3 linked regions of the Neodiprion lecontei genome follow. Each later gene encodes a partner of the first gene's protein in a complex. Links are inferred from orthologs where the notes say so. Each region holds a gene or a part of one and is shown on either strand. Other genes may lie near its edges. The genes, in order: ATP-dependent RNA helicase me31b, maternal protein exuperantia and GRB10-interacting GYF protein 2.

Region 1 (6,212 bases):
TGCTTTTCAGTAAATAATCGCTGTCTCACACCTTTAGGCCTGTGTGCAATTCAGTAAACCATACTTAAGCAAGTCATGCTCATACTTTGAAAACTTGACTCTCTGAAAGTCATTCTGACATTGCAAAAGATAGTTATTTCTTCCCAAATGTTCTGTTACATTAAAGATACTAACGTCAACTTCATAAGAATTCAGTCACCTGATTTATAGTTATTTGAGATTGAAGAACATTACTAACGGCCATAGTTGGAAAATGCGGAAATGAACCAATTACACGAAAAACGGACAAGTACGAATTTCAAATATTAATTTCTGCCATATCTGTTTTGATATTTAGGGAGTTTTACCTTAGAAAATAGCGTATTAAGGCAGTGAACTTTTTGACGTTCCTGTACAAAAGCATAATATTGTGTCACTCCTTTCAATGTCAACTCTTCCATCAGATTAATTTCATATGGGTCCCTCAGATGCTTTTCCATGAATTGCTTTACGGTTAGGGGAAATGTAGCAGAGTATAATAGAATCTGACGTTCTTGTGGTAATCTATAAACACAGATGTAAAGAATTTTGTAATTTTCGTTTCTAGTTGAATCCAGAAAAACCAAAATGCGATTGGACCACATTTGCAACAGTTTATACCTGGATATAACGTGATCCAGCATCCCCTTAAAGTCTTGGGATAGAAGCTTGTCAGCTTCATCCAATACAAGGATTCTGCAGTGATCCATATTTGCAACATTTTTATCCATCAGATCAAGGATACGTCCCGGTGTCGCAATGATTACTTGCACTGGAAAAGTACATTTCAATAAGTGCGTATAAATTAGGAATCTTAAGAAGGAAATTCATCTACAATCAACAAAAGCAATCTAATACATTGGGTCTGAATGTATGAGAATGGCGTAATTGGGTAAATCGACAAAACAGAACAATGTACAAGACCAATTCTGTTTCAACTTCTATTAGAGAAGATGAACAAGCCCTGGTTGTCAACAGATTTCCAGACTATTACGGACTATTCAACAAACGCTAACCTTTTTGGTAAATCCTCATAATGTCGTCGCGCAGATTAGTTCCTCCAGTGGTAACCATGACCTTGACGTCCATGTGTTTTGCAAGTTCAATGCATATCTGTGATGTCTGCAGAGCCAATTCTCTAGTAGGAACTATCACTAATGCTTGAATAACATCTTTACGTGGATCCACCTGCAAGATGCAATAATTAAAGTAGTGAAATTCGAACAACTTTCTATATGTCTCTTTGTTTATCTTTTCCTACCTGTTCTAATACAGGAATTGAATATGCACCAGTCTTGCCTGTACCATTTTTAGCTCGTGCAAGTACATCTTTGCCAGAAAGAGCTATGGGGATACTTGCTTCTTGTATCGGGGATGGCTTTTCCCATCCCTTCTCAAAAATTCCCATCAACAATTCACGCTTTAAGCAGAATTCCTCGAATTCATTTCCACGTGTGTCCGTAACATCCTATGATGTACAAAAAAAAAGTCTTGTAGCTTTGATTTGCATCACAAGTAATGCCTGATTATATTAGTTTAGGAGAAAATTTTTCAACTGCTAATAGTTCAAAATGTTTATGAAGAAAGTAATCTAATGTTATAATTAGTGTGTTATTCCTCAATTTTATGTATTCTTGAAGGAATTTTAGGAGATTGGTGTATCATTCACTAGCCAAAATAAATTTTTTTTATCAAGGTCTAATTTTACATCATTTTCCAATTGTCAGACACTAAGATTGATTACAACCGTTTCCATATTCCTAGTAATTTTATGAACCATGATTCTGAATGAGCACTGTTGGCATTACCAAATCAATTTAAGTGTCTTTACAACAGCTATTATCTTGAATTTTAGTTTAGTTTGACTCACACTTGTTTTGATGCGTTTGTCTTTGGGCGGAATTTTCAGTTTTGCTTTCCAACCTATATCGTCCATCTTTTCTAGATCACCTTTTGGACCCAAGCCGGAATTCAGCATGTGATTAGAATTAATATGAGTTTCGGTCATCATATCGTAGGCTTTAGAGTGTCTCAAATTTCCTGAAAGACAGAATTCAAGATGAAATTATAATCATAATCCACTTTATTTGTATACCCCGGATCCTAAACCTCGGAAGTTCACATCTTCATTTCCTTACTATTTTCATCAACCTGTTACAAACATTTATGAAAGTTATGCCTGTAATAGGAACTGTTAATTTCAGAATGAAATTCAACAATACAAAAAATAGAAATTGAAGATGACACACGGAACAATAAGCCTTGTGAAACATGAAATAACCGTACATTCTGCGAATTTTATCGAAACATTGCAGCTATCTACAGTAGGCGTTATCAGCAGGACGTGTACTTGACAATGGCTTTAAAAGAATAACAATATTCACAATCAACGTGAAAAATTCAGAGTACAAGGAGTTCATTTTAACACCAAGTGTAAATTTTAATTCAACAAATATGTGTAGACTAGCTGAAAATATTTGGCACGAGGTTGATATAAATTTAATCGTATTACCAAAACAACTATATAATTACAAAAGAAACTAAATCAAAAAATGAAGCAGCTCATGATAGAAATAAAGTAAGATAGAAATAAAAGGGAGGGAATGTGCAAGAGAGCTCGAATGGCAAGAGAAAAGAAGGGAGAAACAATTCTCAATATATAAGATTCATGTATTGCAAAAGACCGTGATCATAAATGTCTGAATGTATGGCAAAACAAAGAAAAGCTAAGGTGTGTATAGCGCTAAGCTGTACTTTGAGCTACGAAAAAAAATTTCAAAACTGAACAAGAAATACACAAACTGTGAATACTAGTTCAATTCAAGGTACACATACGCTGTTGCTGAAAAAATGTGTTTATATTGTCAAGCTTCGCTGAGTACAAAGATCGAGCAGTCGGTTTGAAATGTACCTTGAACAGTACATGGCTGAACATATAAAATATAGCTGAATGATTTTCATAATTTTCAAATAAAATTTGAAATTTTTTCTTTTTAGATTGCCAATAACAAGTATATGATAATTTTATTACTCTCTACGCTTGATTCGATTGCCGTTATTTTACTATGTTTGAAAATGAACCGACTGTGCTTTTTTCGGTAAAAAAAATCATGTGGCTACAGGCCAGCTATTTGAGCAAATAAAAAACGATGAATATACCGATGTGTACGGTGTATCAACAAAACTGGTATATACATCCTCCATTATGAATTTACTAAGCCACCGCAGTGCCAAACGGGTGTATAAACGAGGCTTTATGCCATGCCAACCGAAGGTTTCTCTTCTTTTTCTCTTTTCGCTCAGAATTCTCTAAATATATAATCTAACCAAGCAAGATACGAGGTGTACACGTATAATCATGAATTGAAATATTTGTGTAGATGCTGATAACGGTGAGAAAAATTTCACCAAGTACTAACAATACGGAATAGAATATCGCGGGCGAAAATCTTATGCCAAGCTGGATCCATTGTACCGTAACTGGCGCAGAGTTCTTTGAACTTTGATTTATAAACCGAAATAAATAATTGATGAGTCCAAACAAGATGTATTATGAACTTAAGTCAGAAATGTGGCTCAAACTCCATAATACGGTTCATAGAATGAGGTGAGAGAAGGTGTATCTTACCTTCAAACTGATGGATATCGATGCTGAAACACAGCACTCGATTCGGAAACAACACGCCAAAATGGCCGTTCCAATGTCAACTTTTTATAATCTCGGCTGTGCGGCCTGGCTCCCTTCCGTGGCACAATAACCTTCTACTTTCGGATATATATTACACGGGATTGTATCACGACGCTACTGGTATATTGTTTTTACAATAACTTTAACAATGAACGCACTGCGTCAATTGCGAGCCAATAATTATTATCTTTGAATGTAACACGATGTGTGCCGTGAAAAGAATAAAAACACTTTCGGAACACAAGCGGTTGCCTTGTGGCGCTCGGTGCGTGGCGTTCCACGAAACCAGTAACAACAGAGTGAAAGATTATCGCTGCGACACCAGGGCCGTGTTCGAAAATTTACTGACAGTACCACGATCTTACATACAGGTCTGGTAACTCCAGCACTTTTGAGTGGTAGGGGGTGTCACCGTTAGTAAGGCACACGGTCTTGTTTCCTATCTATCCGCTAGGGGCGCCAGTGGCCCGGGGTATAATAAATATAGATATATACCGATAAGATGATCTGCTCGTCGAAGTTTTTGACAGTTCATAACTCAGTGTAAAGTGTGTAAACGGTGTAACAAATTCAGGATTGTTGATTCCGAAAAATCAGCTGTTCGGATCTGATTTATGATTGGCTCACCCCGAGGGGGCAGCGCTGCAGACGGCGAAGACGGGAACCACGGTTCTTCCTCATTATCTGAGTCATTCCCCACCCTACTAGTTTCCGGACCTGTATGTAAGACCGTGGACAGTACTGTCAGCAATCTTTCATCTCTTTTGCGCTGCCGAGTTCATGGACAGCTCTGTCTCTGCCCTAGGGAATTTTAAGTACTGGCAGTTCTCTCTGCTGTAGAGACCTAAAAATCAATGCCAGTTTTGCAGCATGGAGATCGGTCTCCTTCCTTCTTACTCCCTGTCCCAGCCTCACACGTTTCACAACATTTTAGAGATACTTCAAAGCACGCTTCAAAATTTATAGATCCGTGAAACACTAACTGATCCGTTGAGTCGAGTGAAATGAATCAAATTACTCGAGAGCGGAAGAAGAGATCAGCTGCCCAGTATTCGCTGGGCAGTGAAAGTAGTTTCATGATTTTTTTGCTCTACCAGATCGCCTGCTTACTCTGTCTCATTTCTAAGGAATTTTTAGGGTTGGAAATACCAAACTATTTTCGAACAAGCCCGGAAAAGTATACCTTGCGTAAATCTTTGTAACGCAAGCATCAAGCTTATGGGTAATTTGAATTCGTATCACCATACTAAAACACAAGTATCATGGCTCTTATTATTAGGTTACCATTTCGTAGACTGATGTACCAACTTCCGAGGTTACAGAGTTTGACGGGATTGATAATGACACATGACATGTCAATCAATGTCTCATCGTCACACTCGTGGGTACAGATTGTCTGGTGTTTCTTTTTTGCAACCTTCTCAATGCGGTCCGGGATTAATGTATCTATGGCCTTGAAGAAGAATATTTCGAAACACGCCAATAGTGGATCACTTGTTCAAATAAGTTTTCAGATTTATTACTCTACAGAAAATAGTGTATTTGACATAATTGCAATTTTTCAATACATTCCTTGATATTGTAAAAGAATAATAAACAAACGTAAACAACATGCCACACTGCCTGATTAAATCGATGACAAGATATCAGAAAACAAGTAATTTACATGACGGTATGTATCACTCAATATTGTTTTCATCTTTTATTTTGAAAAATTGTTTGCTTAATTGGTGCAAAATTTTGCTCGCCGATCATGTTCCAGTCGAGGTTTGTAAATGGTACATTTCTGTAACTCTTTACGTACAAAACCAACGCAACAGAAAACTTGGAGCAACGTCAAAATTCCACTCACCATTATTAAAGAGTAGGTGCAAATTTTCAGGGTTAAGTGGAGATCAATTTCCAGGGAAGAAATTATGCGATATGGGTAGCTAATTTTCCAGCTCAAACCCGCGAAATTTTCTCTAGCGCATTGCGTTTTCTTGATTATAGGTTATATCACCACTGTTTTCTTCATCAACAATGTTACTGTGCAATCGACCATTCGCGATAAGTTCCATTATGTTGTGAAAGATCCAATTTACCCTAATCATTTATAAGATCAGTGATGCTTAGCATCAATTGTTTCTTTTTTTTTCAACCCATTTTCAATAATATTCCACAATTTTTCGTAGAGAACGAACTTTCCGTGTCGTGGTTGCCGACAGTATCTGATATCAGAAAAAAAAATCAAAGCAAAGAAGTGTCTTCAAAGTCTATAAATATGTGGACTTGTCCAAGACTTTCAATCGTAACTCGATACAGCTTTAAGAAAGATAACAGCATGTTATGGAACACATCAATTCCGGAAGAACTAGGCCTGCAGTTAATAGATTCCGGTGAATCAGCCGACGTACTTTCAACGTCTACAGTCATTGCAAGCGCGCCGACGGTAACGAATTACCTGTGTGACTTGAACGCAAGGAAGAAAGTTTTCGATGCCGACAAAGAACTGATCGAAAGATGC
Region 2 (8,798 bases), on another chromosome or scaffold:
AAAATATATGAAACAGCGGAAATTTAGGAGCAAATATTTTCGAGATTGTCAGAGTTAAATTACTAGTTAGAATCTCCACAAGAAAGATAAAAATTGAAATTAGAAGTTATCCAGTTATTTTCAAGAGTTTCCGAAACTAAAATTCAACTCTTGTTTCACTATATACTTCATTAAGATTTGAACAATTTTTATACAGCTTGAAAATTTCGTCACTTTTTTCCTAAATTTTCAAGAGTTTTTTTAATATCCTCCTGATTCGCGTATTTCTAGCTTCTTCAGAATTCTGGTTTCTTCATACACCTAGCCTGAGATTATAATTCTTATTTCAATTTTGTTTATCCGCCGTTTCCAATTTTCTTGAAAATTCTGAAAAACTTCATTCTCATCGTGTATTTTATACTTGCATAATTCATTCATCTCAAATGAAACCCTGTCTCTGAAAGTGTAATTATATTTCCGATTGATTGCGGTGATATAATCAATGATGTAAAATAACTAAAAAATCAAAAACACAGGAGTTTGAATCGAATCAAAATACCCTTGAAAAACACAGCTACGTTCAGTATCGAAATCTAGTGATATTACAACAATTCTTGCTAAAAATTGCCAACTTTTACACAGACAACGGTTATAAACGTCGAGGAACAAACTAAAATTGATTATAACCAAAAAGGATATCCCAGGACGTCCATCCGTCACAGAGTTGCGCAGTGTATACCGTTAAATTAAAAACTAATTGGATTGCATGCCACCGCGGAGGGTATAACGGTTAGAATAGTTAAAATTAAATGGGATAATAAAACGAATGTCATATCGAGATAGAAGGGCGGGCAATCCATGATTGTTCGAAGGCAAATTGCGCCCCATTTATCAGCGTACCAAAATAGCGGGACTGCATTCAAACACGGGTGAAAATTTATTCGCATAATTCTGCCTTACACGTTACCGAAGAAAAAAAAATCTACAAAGAGCTTTTTCTCTATACGCTACATATTTTCTAATTATATTGACACGTTAAATCTGATTCTCTTATATTTTCTACATATTTTCAGGCCTACTATACAAAGCCATGACGTCACTTTATTGTTTCACCAATATCAAATTATCGCATTATTTGAAACAAAGTATAGAGCAAGTAACCATAATCAAAAGGCAATATAGTACTAGATTTTCTGGTCATAGGTACTAAACCAATTTACACTTTGTACCCAGAACTATATTTTTTATACATAGTTCAGAGCGAATCACACCTATTTTTTATTGTTTTTTTTTTTTTTTTTTTTTTAAATACATGAAGTACAATTGATTTTTGTGAGCTAAATTCTCGGTTTTAAGAATTTAGCTAGAGATGAAATTATACTTCAGGCTCTTTAACTGTCATTTGATTTGGCGTACAAAAACGTTTCATATACAATTACATATTGTGAAAATCAGTGCGGTGCCGAAATAAAATTATCATTCTGCCTAACGGCGGACGTTTTGATTCTGTGTGAAAGTTCGAATCCACCTGACGAACTTTGAGAATGAGAAAAAAAAAAAAAAAAAACAATGTTTTCCTCGACATCGTGAACCAGAAATTGTCGGTCGTTACTTCATGCAAAAAATTTGTTACCAAAAATATTGTTATCCACGTCAAATAACAAACATTAGTATAATATAAATATAAAAAAAAATTAGTTATAGTGTATACACGTATTGCAGAAAGAAACGGTTATGGTCTGCTCATACGAATAGAAAAAATATAATAATTATACGCTGCACTAGGAATTTCTCTCGGTGGGAAGATTCCTTTGTTTATGACGATGTAAAATTTAAGTACTCGCAAGGACTTTTTCTCGTCGATTCATAGTCAAACTAATATTTCTTTCACCTATGAAGGGGTATGACATCGGGGTATGCTTAGCGTCTCTTCCACGTACTTGACCTGCTTGTTTAGGCCATCGAAGAGGAGGAAATTTACGACCCTGAGGCGACGACACCCACCACTTTTCAGGCCTCTTCTAAGAACATGCCTCGAGCTCCTTGGACTTGGTCTATTTTATGGTGTTTTAAACTGAATCTGTTCACCGCGCTATTTTCCGGGCTAAGTGGAGTTTTCATATAACTCCATTAACGTGTTGAAACTTAACAGATGATGCCGAAAAGAAACTTCGCATCTTTAACTTGAAGATTTAACTGTCGAGAGGAATGACTTTTGTTATTGACATTCGTCTGCAAATTTTTATGAAAAATCATATCAAAACGATTCTCTCGGTAAACTCCATTTGACTTCTTATCAACCCTCTATATTATCAGACATAACAATATCTACAGAAATACTAAAATTTACTGAAACATTTTTCTTTGAAAAACCATTTGATTTTAAAACTGAAATTTTTTGCAACCGGGTAAAACTCTTCGGATATAATGGAGGACTGCAAGAATTCTGTTTTATCGCTCGTAAATGTCGCATATTTTACAAAATTATTTACTGCTTACATGTTATATTTTTCATAACGTTCTGGGGTTGGTTTTACGACAGCTTAGAAATGGAAATAATAATACATAAAGCGCGATTTCGTTATATTCATTTTCTATTGAATCCGTCCAACCTGTGATAAAAAAAAAAAATAATGACAGCGCTTGGATGATAAAGAAGAACTTTCGGACCGGCGCAATGTGAATCGAGCAAAAATTTGTACGGAAATTATCCGCCATAAAACGCAGCATAAGCAATATATCACAGACCAGAACGAAGCGGCAGCGTAGTCGGCCATGGTCCGAAATTAAACACCCACGGACTGTTCGGTTTATCCTAAACGGTCGAGAGTCGCGTAAGCTTGTGGGTTCCGATCTTTATTTATAAATTTGATTCATGCCGCGTCACGGCCACGTGACGCACTCGACGAAATTGAAGCGAGGATCGACACCTCAATCTCGATACTCGACGCACTTCAAGTGAATGCATCCGGCACGCGATTGGCCATTGCCGATGTGCCAGCGCTGCGATTAGTGGATGAAGAGCGCCTGCGCAACGCGGCGATTATACTCGCTTGCCACTTCGGTACACGTGCGCAGCTCTCATCGTGTATTTCGCTTTAGGAATCAGCAGACTATAGAGTCTAGAAGCCAGTGGGTGAGCAGTCGAGTGTCGTCAGGCAGCCTTTCCTGGAACCGAGATTACGCGCCGCACGTAACGCCGCAGAGCTCCGAGCCACCCTTCGCACCAGGATAAATTAAACTTAAGCCGAGGGTAAGTCCCTGCGATATAATAAGCCTCATTTAGGGCGGGGCCTTTCCGCCAGTTCGGCAAAGATGGTAGCCCTGACTGCCGGCCACGTGTGGATTCATTTTTGTCACCGAAAATCGAAAAAATCCCCGAGCGCTGTTCTGCCGGGTTCCGAGCATTCCCGGAACTTCGCCAAACTTCGCGCCGCATCAACAACGTGAACAAATGACTGGCTCGTCTCACAACGCAACGAGCATTTCCCTGTTCGCGATCTCTTCCGTCATCCGCGAGCCCCGCAAAATCGTGAAAATCTGTTCATTTTAATCTCACAGTTTTGACCCCGTTCATTTATTCCTTCGTCGACGTTTATCCGTTCATCTCTGCTAGTCCGGCGGCGATATCTCCGCCTACGAATAGGCGAGTCAACGAGGTATCGACGATTCCGATACACGTAAATACGGCCTTTTTATCCTTCTCTCTTGTTTACTATCTGATGAACCGAAAACAAAGACCTTTGTTTGAATTATCTCAAGCACACTACGCTAATCTGGAGGTTAATCCCGTTGTTGTGACAATGTCAAGTGCCAGGTTTTTTCACGCATTTTTTTTTTTCGTTTTTTGCCTGACAACGATTCTCACTAACACGAATTTCAGCATCATTTTTCCTTGTTCTTTCCGGTGTGACTCTTCCTGGCGTAATAATCAACTCTCCCATTTCCTCTGGGTTTCAGATAAGTGATATTGAGATACAGCAAATATGGTGTCGTCAACCGTAGTCGAGAATGGCGAAACAATCGCCCCGGTGGTAAGTTCGTCACCAGCTGTCGGCGTGCCGCCTGGTGATTATAGGCTCGTAGGATGGGACATGGACGCCACTGGCAGGAGACTGATCGACGAGATTTGCCAAATTGCCGGGTATACGCCGAGTTCCAGCTATGGCCAGTACGTCATGCCTTTCAAGGACCTCAATCCACCTGCCAGAAAGAGGCACAATATTAGAGTTGTTACCATCGGAAAATACCGAATGCTCAAGGACAACAAGACAAACAAGGTGATGATACCATAAATAGAGCAGTTACACTTATCCTTGTGCACATATTGTTTCTATTCATTTGCAGAGCAAACAGGAACTGTAATCCTCGCTGAATATTTTTATCTCACTTTCTCTACGCATCGTTGTTGATTTCGTTGATGGAAAAATTGAAAGAACTCAGATGATGCATTAACGATCTACTTCGGACCAGAATTTAACACCAATATCAATATATTACAATGTTTCATTTTTCTATCATCTTATCTAGTTTTTCTTTGCTGAGATTAGCATTAGTAAACAAACATTAGTAAATTTCATATCGTTGTAAAATCTGAAAATTTGCATTATTTGAAAAGTAGTAAATACGTTGCAACATGTTTTTCGATGCGGATAAATTTTTTTTTTTTTTCTGTCATTGTCACAGGTCCTAAAGACGAAAAGTGAGATATCTGCGCTGATAGATTTTATCACGTGGCTTGAGTCGGTCAAGGGAGATGCGGCCGATGGTGTGATTCTAGTTTATCATGAGCCACGCAAAGTCATACCTTCCATGCTGCTTGAATCGCTGAGGAAATTCAACCTTTTAGATCGATTCAAGCAAACCGTTAAGGGCTTCGCTAACGGGTTTAACGTTGCAGAGGTCAAATGCGCCGATACAGTACGCACATTTTCCCTACGCACATTATCGCGTGTTATGCTAGACAAGGTAAACCCTGCATTTTCTAATGCTGATTATAAAAACAATGATCATATCTGCAGATACAGATTTCAAAAACGCTAAGAATTTGATGATATCTTCCAATCATCCGTTAGTTTTCATGTAATCAACTAATTGGGAAAAGGAAAATTACGTCGATCTCTTAACTAATATCAATATCGTATTTGAATTCCAAGGAAGAAGAGTTAGACAACGCCGTTGATAGAGCGCGTCTAGCTCTCCAAGTCATACAGCACTTGAGCGCTGGTGAAGAAACTGCAAAGGGCGCCGAGAGTAGCGGAAGTGGTGATAGCGACGCCGCGACAAAAGGGACCATAGAACTAATAAGAGAATTCGTACAGCCAACGCATGTCGAAGAAAAGGAATTAGCTGGTACAAAAGCACAAAATTTCCCTACAGATATCTTTCATTGGTTAAGGATATAAGTTGATGGCTGAGAAGGTGGGTAAATTTTGAGAATTTATATCTCAAAAACCAATAATTCAATTCGATTGTTTTTATTCAAAAGTATGTAGATCAAACTTCATTTACATATTTTTGTCACTTGGATCAATTAATAGCCACCATTGTTATTGACAATAACATCAATGATTTGACTCTGTGACATGTTTTGCTTTGCCCACGATGTGTCAGAAACGGCTTAAACGATTTACCTCAAATTTTGAAACCGTATATTCTTGAATAGTTTATCCTGTTTGCAACAATCTGAAATTTTTTTCAACTAAATGGCAAGCGTTTGAAATTGTCATTAGATTTTTGCCGAAAATTTACCAGTATTTTATATAAGTAAGAAAAAAAAAGATGTTTAAACGTAAGTAGGAACTTTGCAAAGAGGATAAACTATCCAGGAATATTGTCTTCGAATTTGAAGTAAATAGGTCGAGCTGTTCTTGAGATATCTTGGGCACCACAAACATGTCGCCGGGCCAAACGGTCGACGTTATTTTCAAAAATACTTCAGCAAAACTCGATCTACTTAAACTTTTGAGTAAAACAAACCCCAAATGAATAGAATACTTGGTTGTCAAGACATAAATTCCCAAAGTTTACAAAATTTTTCAGTCCTACTTGTGATTAGTTTTTGAAAAGATGACCAAGGAAATAGATACATGATTGGAAAGAATTTGACAAATGTATTCGTGTTACAGGTTTGAAATTGGTCCTCAATCGTCAAAATAGTCTAAGACCTGTATTCGGAATGCTACTGCGCCAAAGTCGCCGCGAACGACAACATGCTAGCCTCTTACGCCGATTATTAGCCGAGGCTAATGTCGACTACGTAGAACTGCAGGTGAGTCATAATTTTAGGATTCAAATTTCTCACGAAATTTCGATAAGGAACTAATACGGTAATAGAAGTAAACCAACAATTTTCGAATTTCGATTTCTGGCTGTCTATTTGACCTCTTCGAATAAATTCTCTATAAATGTTAAACTTCTTCGATGAAATTATGCAAATTAACAAAAAATTCGATGCGACCAACTCGATTATATGCATGAATGCTTCATGGTCGCTCTTACTTTGCTGATAACTCAAGTTTTTGTACATTCTTATCAGTTTGTTGGTTCTACGCACATGTACCTTTTCTTTGACTGAGTCACATTGTTTTTGTTTGTAATCAACAGTCGAGTGAGAGCTTCTGAATTTTGTACCCACTAATGAGGTATCTCTTTAACTCGATTGTGATTTTCAATAATTTTAGGAAGTATGGTCGAACGAGAAAAGGGAGGGTTTGCAAAAATTAATAAAAGAGAAAGTAACAGGAGCGAAGGAAAATGAGGAAGAGGAACTGTTGGAGGTACTCGAGTGTCACTTTGACCCAGAAAAAAAGATGAAGCCGAAGTTAAGTGTAGAAAAAAAAGAAGGAAAGAAAGGAAATATTGGCAAAGGTGCAGTGGAATCTAAAGAGAACATCAAAAACGAATCCGCTACCGAGAGTCCAGATACAACAACAACAAGTTCTCCTTTGAAAGAGAAACTTGTACCCCAGGAAAATGCTGAGGTAAAAGCTTCGGATGTGAAATGCGAATAAAATCAAAATATCCTGATGCCAGTGCCTTATTTCAAATACAGAATGAACATTTTTGTTCTTGAATTTCCTACATTGGTATGATAATATTTAAAAACTAAGTGAAAATGTTGATAAAAAAAAAAGAAAAGATATACTAAGAAAAGAAAAACGGCAGATGAGGTTAGCTTGTTATAGAGTTTTATTTAGATTTCTCGTGATATTCGAACAGGTTTGTCAGTCCTGGAGACTACAATGTCCGGTTCGATTCATATAGTACTATATTATATTATATTATTTACTTTAGTTCGTCACAAAATGAACGTATTATTTTTTTCGTTTTTTTTTCTGTTTATTATCTACCGAGTTTATGTTGATTTATTTTTTTGTATTACTCAGTTTTCTATCTAAATAATAAGATTCGTTTAATCTCCTTGTGGAATTACGTTGGGGTCACAAAATTAACAAATAAATAAATAATCCCAATGTAAAAAATTTATACTTATATCGCACTTGATGATTGAATTATCGATTTATTGTTGTCATTATAAATACATTGGATAACTTCTGTGCATAACTAAAATTGCAATTATTTAATTTTTTTAATTTTTTAATTTTCTTTTTTTTTTTCTTTTTCTTTTTTTTTTCTTTTTCTTTAAAGTATAAACTGGCGGAACATTCATGCTGCGTCAATAAAAAAAACAAAGCAAAAAAAACGAAAAAACTACAAATAAAACGAGCAAAAAAATAATATAAACAAGGTGCATGATAATTACAGGATTACTAAAAGTAAATAAATGAAAAAATAAAAAAAAAACTTACTTAAATATTCACGACTTGAAAAGCAATGAGGATAATTGTTGATTAATTCATCATACCGTGCTAGTTACGTTAGGATCTCATTGTATTATTAATATAATTAAAAAAAAAAATGTTAATAAATATATAATTTTGCAATTGCATACTTATCATTATCAAACGATGCCACTTCAAATTTGAAACGAAAATAGGGAAACCATCGTTTTTCCCAACATTAAGTATCAAGTTCTACAGTGTATCATAAGACTAATAATTATGATAAAAATAGTGGTATGAACATTCACGATTGAAAGAGAAAAAATTTATTCACTATTATCTCTGCACGTGCCGTGTTTAAAGTACAAAGGAATCTTAGAACTATTTTTTCTCTACAGATTGTGAGGATAAAACTCCATGTGCTTGATATTTAGAAAACAAGGTCTCCGATTCTTTGACAACAAACGATAAAGTAGCTTTAGAATAATATTCTCCCATCAGTTCAATGTTGTTAATGACTGTGGACAGCAGATGAGCCTTTTCAGTGAATATACCTGTAAAAATGGGCGGACATAAATATTTGACAATACAAAGAAATACAGTGAAAGTGCAAGATAAGGTTTACCTGGAGCGTCATATTTCAAATATGTGAAATGAATGTGAAGATGATAAAACGAGGGTTGATAGTGAAAATAAATTCTAAGCTGCGATGCTGGAAGTCCGCTGTATTTCTTAGAAATTGCTTTTGTGCCGGCGTCGCGAATGTTCTTAAGCAACGGCAAATGCGATTGGTCCAAATCTCTAATTGATTTGATTCCCTTTAGCATCGGAATTGCCAAGAGGTACAAAGTTTCCAGACTTCCGTCCCATTTCAAATCTGGTATCAAAACAAAGCCTGTTTTTGGGTCTGGATCCTCAAAGACTATTCTTTCTTTCTCGGCCTTGTGCTCCAAAATGTTATACACCCACTGTAGACAAACATTAAGGGGTTAATATGAGTTAAACATTTGCTCAAGAAAGTGGTGCAATGAAAAA
Region 3 (6,322 bases), on another chromosome or scaffold:
TTGTGGCTCAATTCTCGGTCCATCGCCTGGCTCGTCAAAGATGGCTCCTCGGGAGTAATGAGTCGGATAAATGCCACCTCTCCCACCTCTGCCCCGTCCTCCACGATCAACGCTGCCCCCTCTCCCTCTGCCCCCATTGTTTGATAAACCACTATTCCAGGAGCGCTGAAATGACGGATACAGTCTATCAGAGCATTCCAACACTATTTTGGTAATCGGGTAAAGAATGTGAGAATAACGAAAGGATTTACTTTCGGTATTGGTTTTGTTAGCTGCATGATAGTCTACCGGAGTTGAGTAGAATGTACGCAATATTTTTTTTTTTTTTTTGGAGAAAGCGATTAATAATATACTTTTGTTTTGTTCCTATGTTTTTCAAACTCTTTAATCCAGAAACATGATCCAGTAGCGACAAGGGGCCGAGTAAGACTGAGTAGGATTTTGTTACAATGAAGTATTTAAATAGAATAGTCTCAAAAAGTCGATTTGAATATTTTTTCCTATGGCTCTGTATGTTGCAGAAGTTTCTAATAATACTGAGTCTTCGATATAGAACTGTGAACTCTTTAACGGTAGCAGTCAGCGGTTCACTATCACATTATCACTGATTTTATGTAATAAACTTACAAACGCTTCGTTGCTACAGAATAAAAATTGATCAACTTCGGCTACGGACATATCGATTACCGCAATAGAGATGAATCTTTTTCACGACAAGGGAAGGCCAAGCAATTGAAGTGCAGAGGCTTATACAAGCCAGGAAGTTTGGCGCAAGGGCTCCAGAGAGTGGCTGTATATTTTTAGAACACGACCAAGAATGACACAGTTCCCAATATAAGATACGACACTAATACAAGACGATACGAAAATATATGTATGTGCACATATTGAATCGCATTCTATCTCTTCTTACATTTTAGTCAAATATCGATCTATTCGAAATAAAAATATTCTTACATCTTCCAAGCCATGTAGCAGTATCCATAAAATCGTAATTTCAATTTTATCCAACCTACATTTTGTTTGCTCAAATACAAATACCGTGATTCAAAGTTCAAGGTCATATCGAGTTTGAAAATATTTAGCATCGTATATATATGCAAATGGAATGTTAAATATTACGTCACACATCATTATATGCATTAGAAGAATTCTTTTTACCAAATTCAATCTCATTGAACATTACATTTCTTACCATTTAACGCCATGTATCATTGTTGTTATTTTTTTTTTTTTTTTTTAACAAGTCATTTCGATGTTTTCTGTAAATGATTTTATCAAATTTTCCACAAGCACAGCAATATTTCATAGTATATGATGTGTGTGTGTGTGTGTGTGTGTGCGTGGGTGTATATATATTTAGTAGATATATTGACTTTTTGCATTGCAGAAACATGTTGATAAATATGGAAAATGTGCGCATATATATGTATATACATTTTCCATAATTATCACCATTTTTCTGTAATGAAAAAAGTTAATAGATCTACTTTTATTTATTATAATGAATCCAGGTTTTGCTTTGAATGAAACATAAGTTAAAGTTACACGAAGATTCTACTATTTACCCGTAAAGTTTAGTTGCTTACTTGTAAAATTTTTTCTAAAGTTATAACCATCAGACCGATTCAAGTTGTACTTGTACATTCCAAAAGACACAACACAACGAAGATAGATTTTCAAAAATGATAGCAAAGCAAATATTCCTAGTAAGCATATTGCAATGAGATGCATTGGCATGGTGTGTAACCTTAGTGTTTACTTTTTTTTCATTTCTGATTCTCAATTTCGAGAAGAGATTCTAACAGGAAACGAGTCATTGGGACAGAAAAGATGAGCAGGAAATAAGTTAGGTATATGTGCGGAATGAGCAGAAATTATCAAAAATATGATGATAGTAATAACAACCACATTTACCGCCTCTTCTTCTGTCATTGGTGTGAGTGCCAGCGGTTGTTGAGCTTGTATAATGTAGAGGGCAGGAAAAGAAGCGAGTGGTTCGGGTGCTTTATAATTCCGGTCAAACAGAGCTAACATCTCTTCTCGACCGTATCTATGCTCAGCTAGCTGGTAACGAGGGGTGGTCAGGATACTAGGCCCTCCCCCTCCTCCGCTGGTATTGCAACCGTCTCCTGACAAGTTGCGCAACCTGTACAACGGCAAAGTTTTGTCAGAGAGATGTGAGGAAAGGAAAAAACAGGGAAACAGAGAATAGCTCACCATGCAGACATTGATAACTATAACTTATGCGCTACATATATTATAAAATTGTGCGAGATTCAATTCTTTCTTCCTCTTTTAATCCTTTAGCTACTTTATTTATTATTTTTCAGATTCAGTTGTTCGTAATGATGCGACTAAAAGATTAAAGAAAAAAAGAAACTCGTTTTGTTACGCAAATGACAGAATATACTTTTTGACTTGATCGTGTTGTCTTTCATGGTACACAAAAATTTTGATTGTAAATATTTAAAAATTTCAGAGTATCTTATGAATTTTTTATGCTTTATTAGTTTTTAGTGGAAGTGGGTTTTAAAGTACTTTTCAGGTCTCTAACTGACTTTGCATAGTAAAAATGTCAAGTGTGAAATGCACTATCTTTTTATGATGAGTAAATACCTTTACTTTCGGCTTTTCAATAATGACAAAGTATAGTGTTATCTAAAAATCATCATATAAATGAAAGCAAATGTCAGACAATGGTGAAAGAAAGATTCATTTATAGTTATAAAACCATCGCTTCAAAATGAAATTTTTCACTTAGATTAATCAAATACCAATCACAAGATTATCAAAATTTTTTAAATGCCAAAGAATCTGTTTGCAGGATTTATTTCTTAAAATTGTATAAATGATAGTATCTCAAAATTTTAATGAAAATTTAGATTCTGAATGATAAAATCTGCTGCCAAATCATAACGCCAGCGAAATTTTTTTAGGGAATAACTTACCACTCTGGACCAAATCTCATTGATTCCGTCATCTCGCAAAGTTAGCTGAAAAATTAAATAAAGTAGCATGAATACATGTATTTGTTTGGCACAAACGGTCAGCAAAGAAAAAATACAATAGTAAATAATAAATAACAGTCTTTATCCGGATTTTAAAAATATAATATTTAACTGTTACTTCACGTTTTGAGAATTTTTATTCAATTTCTGTTTTACTTACACCCTGGACATTCGATAACGCGGTTAAAGCTCGAGTAATTCGCGTATAGGGATGATTTCGCGTTTGAAAGGATTGATGAATTAGAACACGAAACAGATGATTTAGAATATACCTAGAATATACAATAGATGCAACAGACTGGAGAACGTAGAGGAGCCGAAATTAGCGTCACGAAAGTGTCGAGCAGCGGGAAATGAAACTGCGATATCGTTGCGCGGAAAGGAACGAATACCAGAATCGAAAGACGCGAAAACAGAAATATTCTTCCCGTTTATTTACGACATATTTTTTGACGGAGCAGAATCTACGTAGGTATGTATGCATGTAGTATCCCACAGCAGCCAAGGTGGCAATATTAACCAAACTTTTTTCGATTGTAGAAATCACGATATGCCACCGGATCATCATATTCTTTGATAAAAGTTTGTCACCAATGCTTTTGTTGCAATATTTCACTGCCAGTAGCGTCTAGTTTGCTATATAAATTATTGAAATACCTTATTGGGGTTCGGAATTATTGGGCGAATGAAACAACACACCAATATGGCCGATGGGTTTTTTGAGATAGAACGCTGAACGCATGCGTAGTGTTTTTTGTCACGTGATCAGAGATTTAAAGCCAAACCCAAATCCCCGTACAAGGCGCCACTTGTACGAAAGTGGAAGACCTCGGAAGATCTTTTGCTTCCTGCTTTTAAAAAGTACCTTTTATTTGCCTAAACGGAAGTTTTGAAGAAAAAACTGCAGATTGGCTGACCTTTGAATACCGAGTCGTTACCGAGTTCTTCAACTCTTTTGTTTTCGAAATGTGGCAAGTAAAATAAACCCAGACATAGGAACTCATTTCAACCCGACTCCGGTTTGTTTATCAATTTTTTTTTGACAGATTATATCATCAATTTTAATCCTTCCACTTACTTATGTCCTAATGTACGTTACAACTGTGACGAAAATATCGGTCTGATATATTACTTTCCAACACAGACATTCATTTCAACCGACCAAGTTATTTTACCGTTCCGACTCTTTGACTTAACCGACTCCTGATTAAAGCCATATATGGTTAAAGCTGGCTGTAAAAATTAGGAAAAATTTAAGAAAGTTTCAACTGATACCGACAGATTTACGGATTATGTTTTGAAATCGAAAACAGCTATTATTTTCATCGTATCGATTTGTAGTACTATAAATCTGAATGGTAATTAATTTCTCTTTGCAATTGTGTCTAAAGGGTAAGAAAGAGACTCTTATATTTTAAGACAGTTTATTCAAAGGGATTTTAAGTCGTTACAAAGAATAGTAACAATAAAACGTTCTTTTTTCCAGATCTGTGCAACCGGCTATTTAAGAGTGAATCATTTGAGCTTAAGCAAACTGCATGAAAGAATTTTTTTAGAAATCCACACCTTTGAGAAGTCATTCAGATACAGTATAGAATTAAGTTTCTCTCTGATAAAGGGACTCATTATTATAAATCAGACAAAGTAGTGCGGCTTCTTGACCACTATGCCATATTCAGCAACAGCTGGTGTCAGGTCTTCCATTGTTAACGTGTAGCGGCGATCCTTTCCTTTCGTCTTAGTATTTTGATTTGCTCCTCTCGTCTTACAGTGCTGTAACGCATCGTTAGCTATTTCAGAGATGAACTTTTGAGCTGCTAACGAAACTAACCTGACACTAAAACAAGGAGAATAGAATTGTTCCATGAGCAATTACAAACCAATAAATAATAAAATATCTATCGAATAATTCTCGTTTTACTCTTACATTCTTGGATCAGTCGTGTTGAAACCAGCTGTATGGAGATAGTGAGCACTGATCGCATCTGGAACCTGAAATAAACTGCTTGTTTTACAAAGATATAACTTCTTCCAATATCATAGAGCGACTTACGTACAGTCGGAGTATAATCTTCAAGTTGCAGTAGAAAATCGGATAAAGGTTGCCCAGCTGATCGAGGTTCTTCGTTAGTTCCCGAATATATCGGAGGTGTGTCTCGTCCGTAACCTTCTGCCATTTCCGTAATTCAGATTTCGTTAAATCTGAGCCGCTGCAATTTCTCTAGTAACGAACGATGTTTCGATTTCTCGTAAAAACGGTTACAAGTTGTGGCTTTAGTAGCATGAAATTATTTCTAGAGGGTAAGATTATCGTGGATAGATGAAAAAGGTTAATTTAGATGTAAATAAATATTGCAATCCCTCTCTCTGGCAGTACAATAAGCAGAGAGAAACCTTCGAAAACTCCAGACTAACGACAAAATCACTAAATTGGCGACACTGAGTGTCGCTCGTGGGTAGTGAGTGAAGTTGGCGGCAGATCAACGCATCTCGAATCTCTGGAAGCACTTCTGCACTTAGCACTTTAACAGACGACCACGACATTACCGATCGGGGGAATGAAGACATTACCGATGACTCAAGCACAAAATAATTACTTATCCGTAGTGAATATATGAAAATAAGAGTTGTTCGACGAATCCTTAGATAAGATTTGTCACATCTTAGTTGGAATTAGTGGTTGGAAGGCCCCGACATTTTATGAAATACGCGAGTGCGTTCAGTACAGATATTTTCATTTGAGGTTAAGATTTTCAGCACATGCGGTAAAAATCAGTCGCTGAGAACTTGCGGCCGGAAATTGTTTTTTTTTTTTCACATGTTAATTTTGTGTATTTATCGCGCCACTTTTGCTTTTAATTATTTCGTGAACAATAATCACAATAGTTATTATCACTCTATATGATCTTTTCTATTTTTATATTCCGCTGAACGCATGAAACGTGTTCACGCCGCGATGGAGCTAGAAAATTATAGTAATATTCCGTCGTCCAAAGGTATGCAAATATTTACATGACATCAATTCCATCAGTAATATATAATATAAAAATATGTTTTTTCAAGTCATGGGAATCATATTTTCTATAGCTGCGTCATTCTTTACTGTGCAGTTCGTCTTGTGGAACGAAATGTTACGCCTCAAGGAGTTACATTGGTTAATCCATCGGCTATTGCAAAAAAAGCACCGAATGATTTAGTGATGCTCGCTCTGGAGATACAAAAAGTAATTTAATCTATTCATGTCATATCATCATAATTTGTTGTTGAATCATTTTGCTTTGCAAAATATGTCCAGCATTACAATAGTGAAT

What was found.
Region 2: ATP-dependent RNA helicase me31b (region 1) and maternal protein exuperantia share a complex: the UniProt entries of both Drosophila melanogaster proteins name them as parts of the osk RNP complex. The link is inferred for Neodiprion lecontei from reciprocal best matches to the Drosophila melanogaster genes me31B and exu.
Region 3: the proteins of ATP-dependent RNA helicase me31b (region 1) and GRB10-interacting GYF protein 2 are in contact, whole or in part, in a crystal structure (PDB 6S8R), measured with the Drosophila melanogaster proteins. The link is inferred for Neodiprion lecontei from reciprocal best matches to the Drosophila melanogaster genes me31B and Gyf. Residues at the interface, in NP_523533.2 of Drosophila melanogaster: Tyr274, Ala275, Phe276, Val277, Glu279, Arg280, Gln281, Lys282, Val283, His284, Cys285, Thr288, Leu289, Ser304, Thr305, Gln306, Arg307, Leu310, Leu311, Lys314, Glu317, Leu318, Phe370, Pro420, Ile421, Lys423; in NP_001162827.1 of Drosophila melanogaster: Glu344, Asn345, Pro347, Glu348, Trp349, Ala350, Ile351, Glu352, Pro354, Ser355, Lys356, Leu357, Gly358, Gly359, Ser360, Phe361, Asp362, Ala363, Ser364, Gly365, Ala366, Phe367, Gly369.

The regions. Positions count from the first base shown.
Region 1 is NC_060261.1:14,905,755-14,911,966, forward strand, and holds the start of ATP-dependent RNA helicase me31b, read right to left. Parts: upstream 4,034-6,212; 5' UTR 3,647-4,033; intron 2,059-3,646; 5' UTR 2,030-2,058; coding exon 1,889-2,029; intron 1,487-1,888; coding exon 1,280-1,486; intron 1,207-1,279; coding exon 1,035-1,206; intron 791-1,034; coding exon 640-790; intron 544-639; coding exon 348-543; intron 1-347. Other genes in the region: zinc finger protein 2, read left to right, coding at 5,318-5,378, 5,881-6,212. UniProt on the Drosophila melanogaster protein: ATP-dependent RNA helicase which is a core component of a variety of ribonucleoprotein complexes (RNPs) that play critical roles in translational repression and mRNA decapping during embryogenesis, oogenesis, neurogenesis and neurotransmission.
Region 2 is NC_060266.1:19,232,255-19,241,052, forward strand, and holds maternal protein exuperantia, read left to right. Parts: upstream 1-3,048; 5' UTR 3,049-3,232; intron 3,233-3,412; exon of another isoform or gene 3,413-3,659; intron 3,660-3,939; 5' UTR 3,940-3,965; coding exon 3,966-4,259; intron 4,260-4,665; coding exon 4,666-4,947; intron 4,948-5,135; coding exon 5,136-5,331; intron 5,332-6,107; coding exon 6,108-6,250; intron 6,251-6,662; coding exon 6,663-6,992; 3' UTR 6,993-7,827; downstream 7,828-8,798. Other genes in the region: m7GpppX diphosphatase, read right to left, coding at 8,145-8,317, 8,389-8,731. UniProt on the Drosophila melanogaster protein: Ensures the proper localization of the mRNA of the bicoid gene to the anterior regions of the oocyte thus playing a fundamental role in the establishment of the polarity of the oocyte. May bind the bcd mRNA.
Region 3 is NC_060263.1:40,977,847-40,984,168, forward strand, and holds the start of GRB10-interacting GYF protein 2, read right to left. Parts: upstream 3,854-6,322; 5' UTR 3,669-3,853; intron 2,997-3,668; 5' UTR 2,984-2,996; coding exon 2,952-2,983; intron 2,150-2,951; coding exon 1,918-2,149; coding exon of another isoform or gene 1,909-1,917; intron 166-1,908; coding exon 1-165. Other genes in the region: transcription initiation factor TFIID subunit 10, read right to left, coding at 4,647-4,848, 4,939-5,003, 5,069-5,188; uncharacterized protein C1orf50 homolog, read left to right, coding at 5,947-6,007, 6,122-6,234.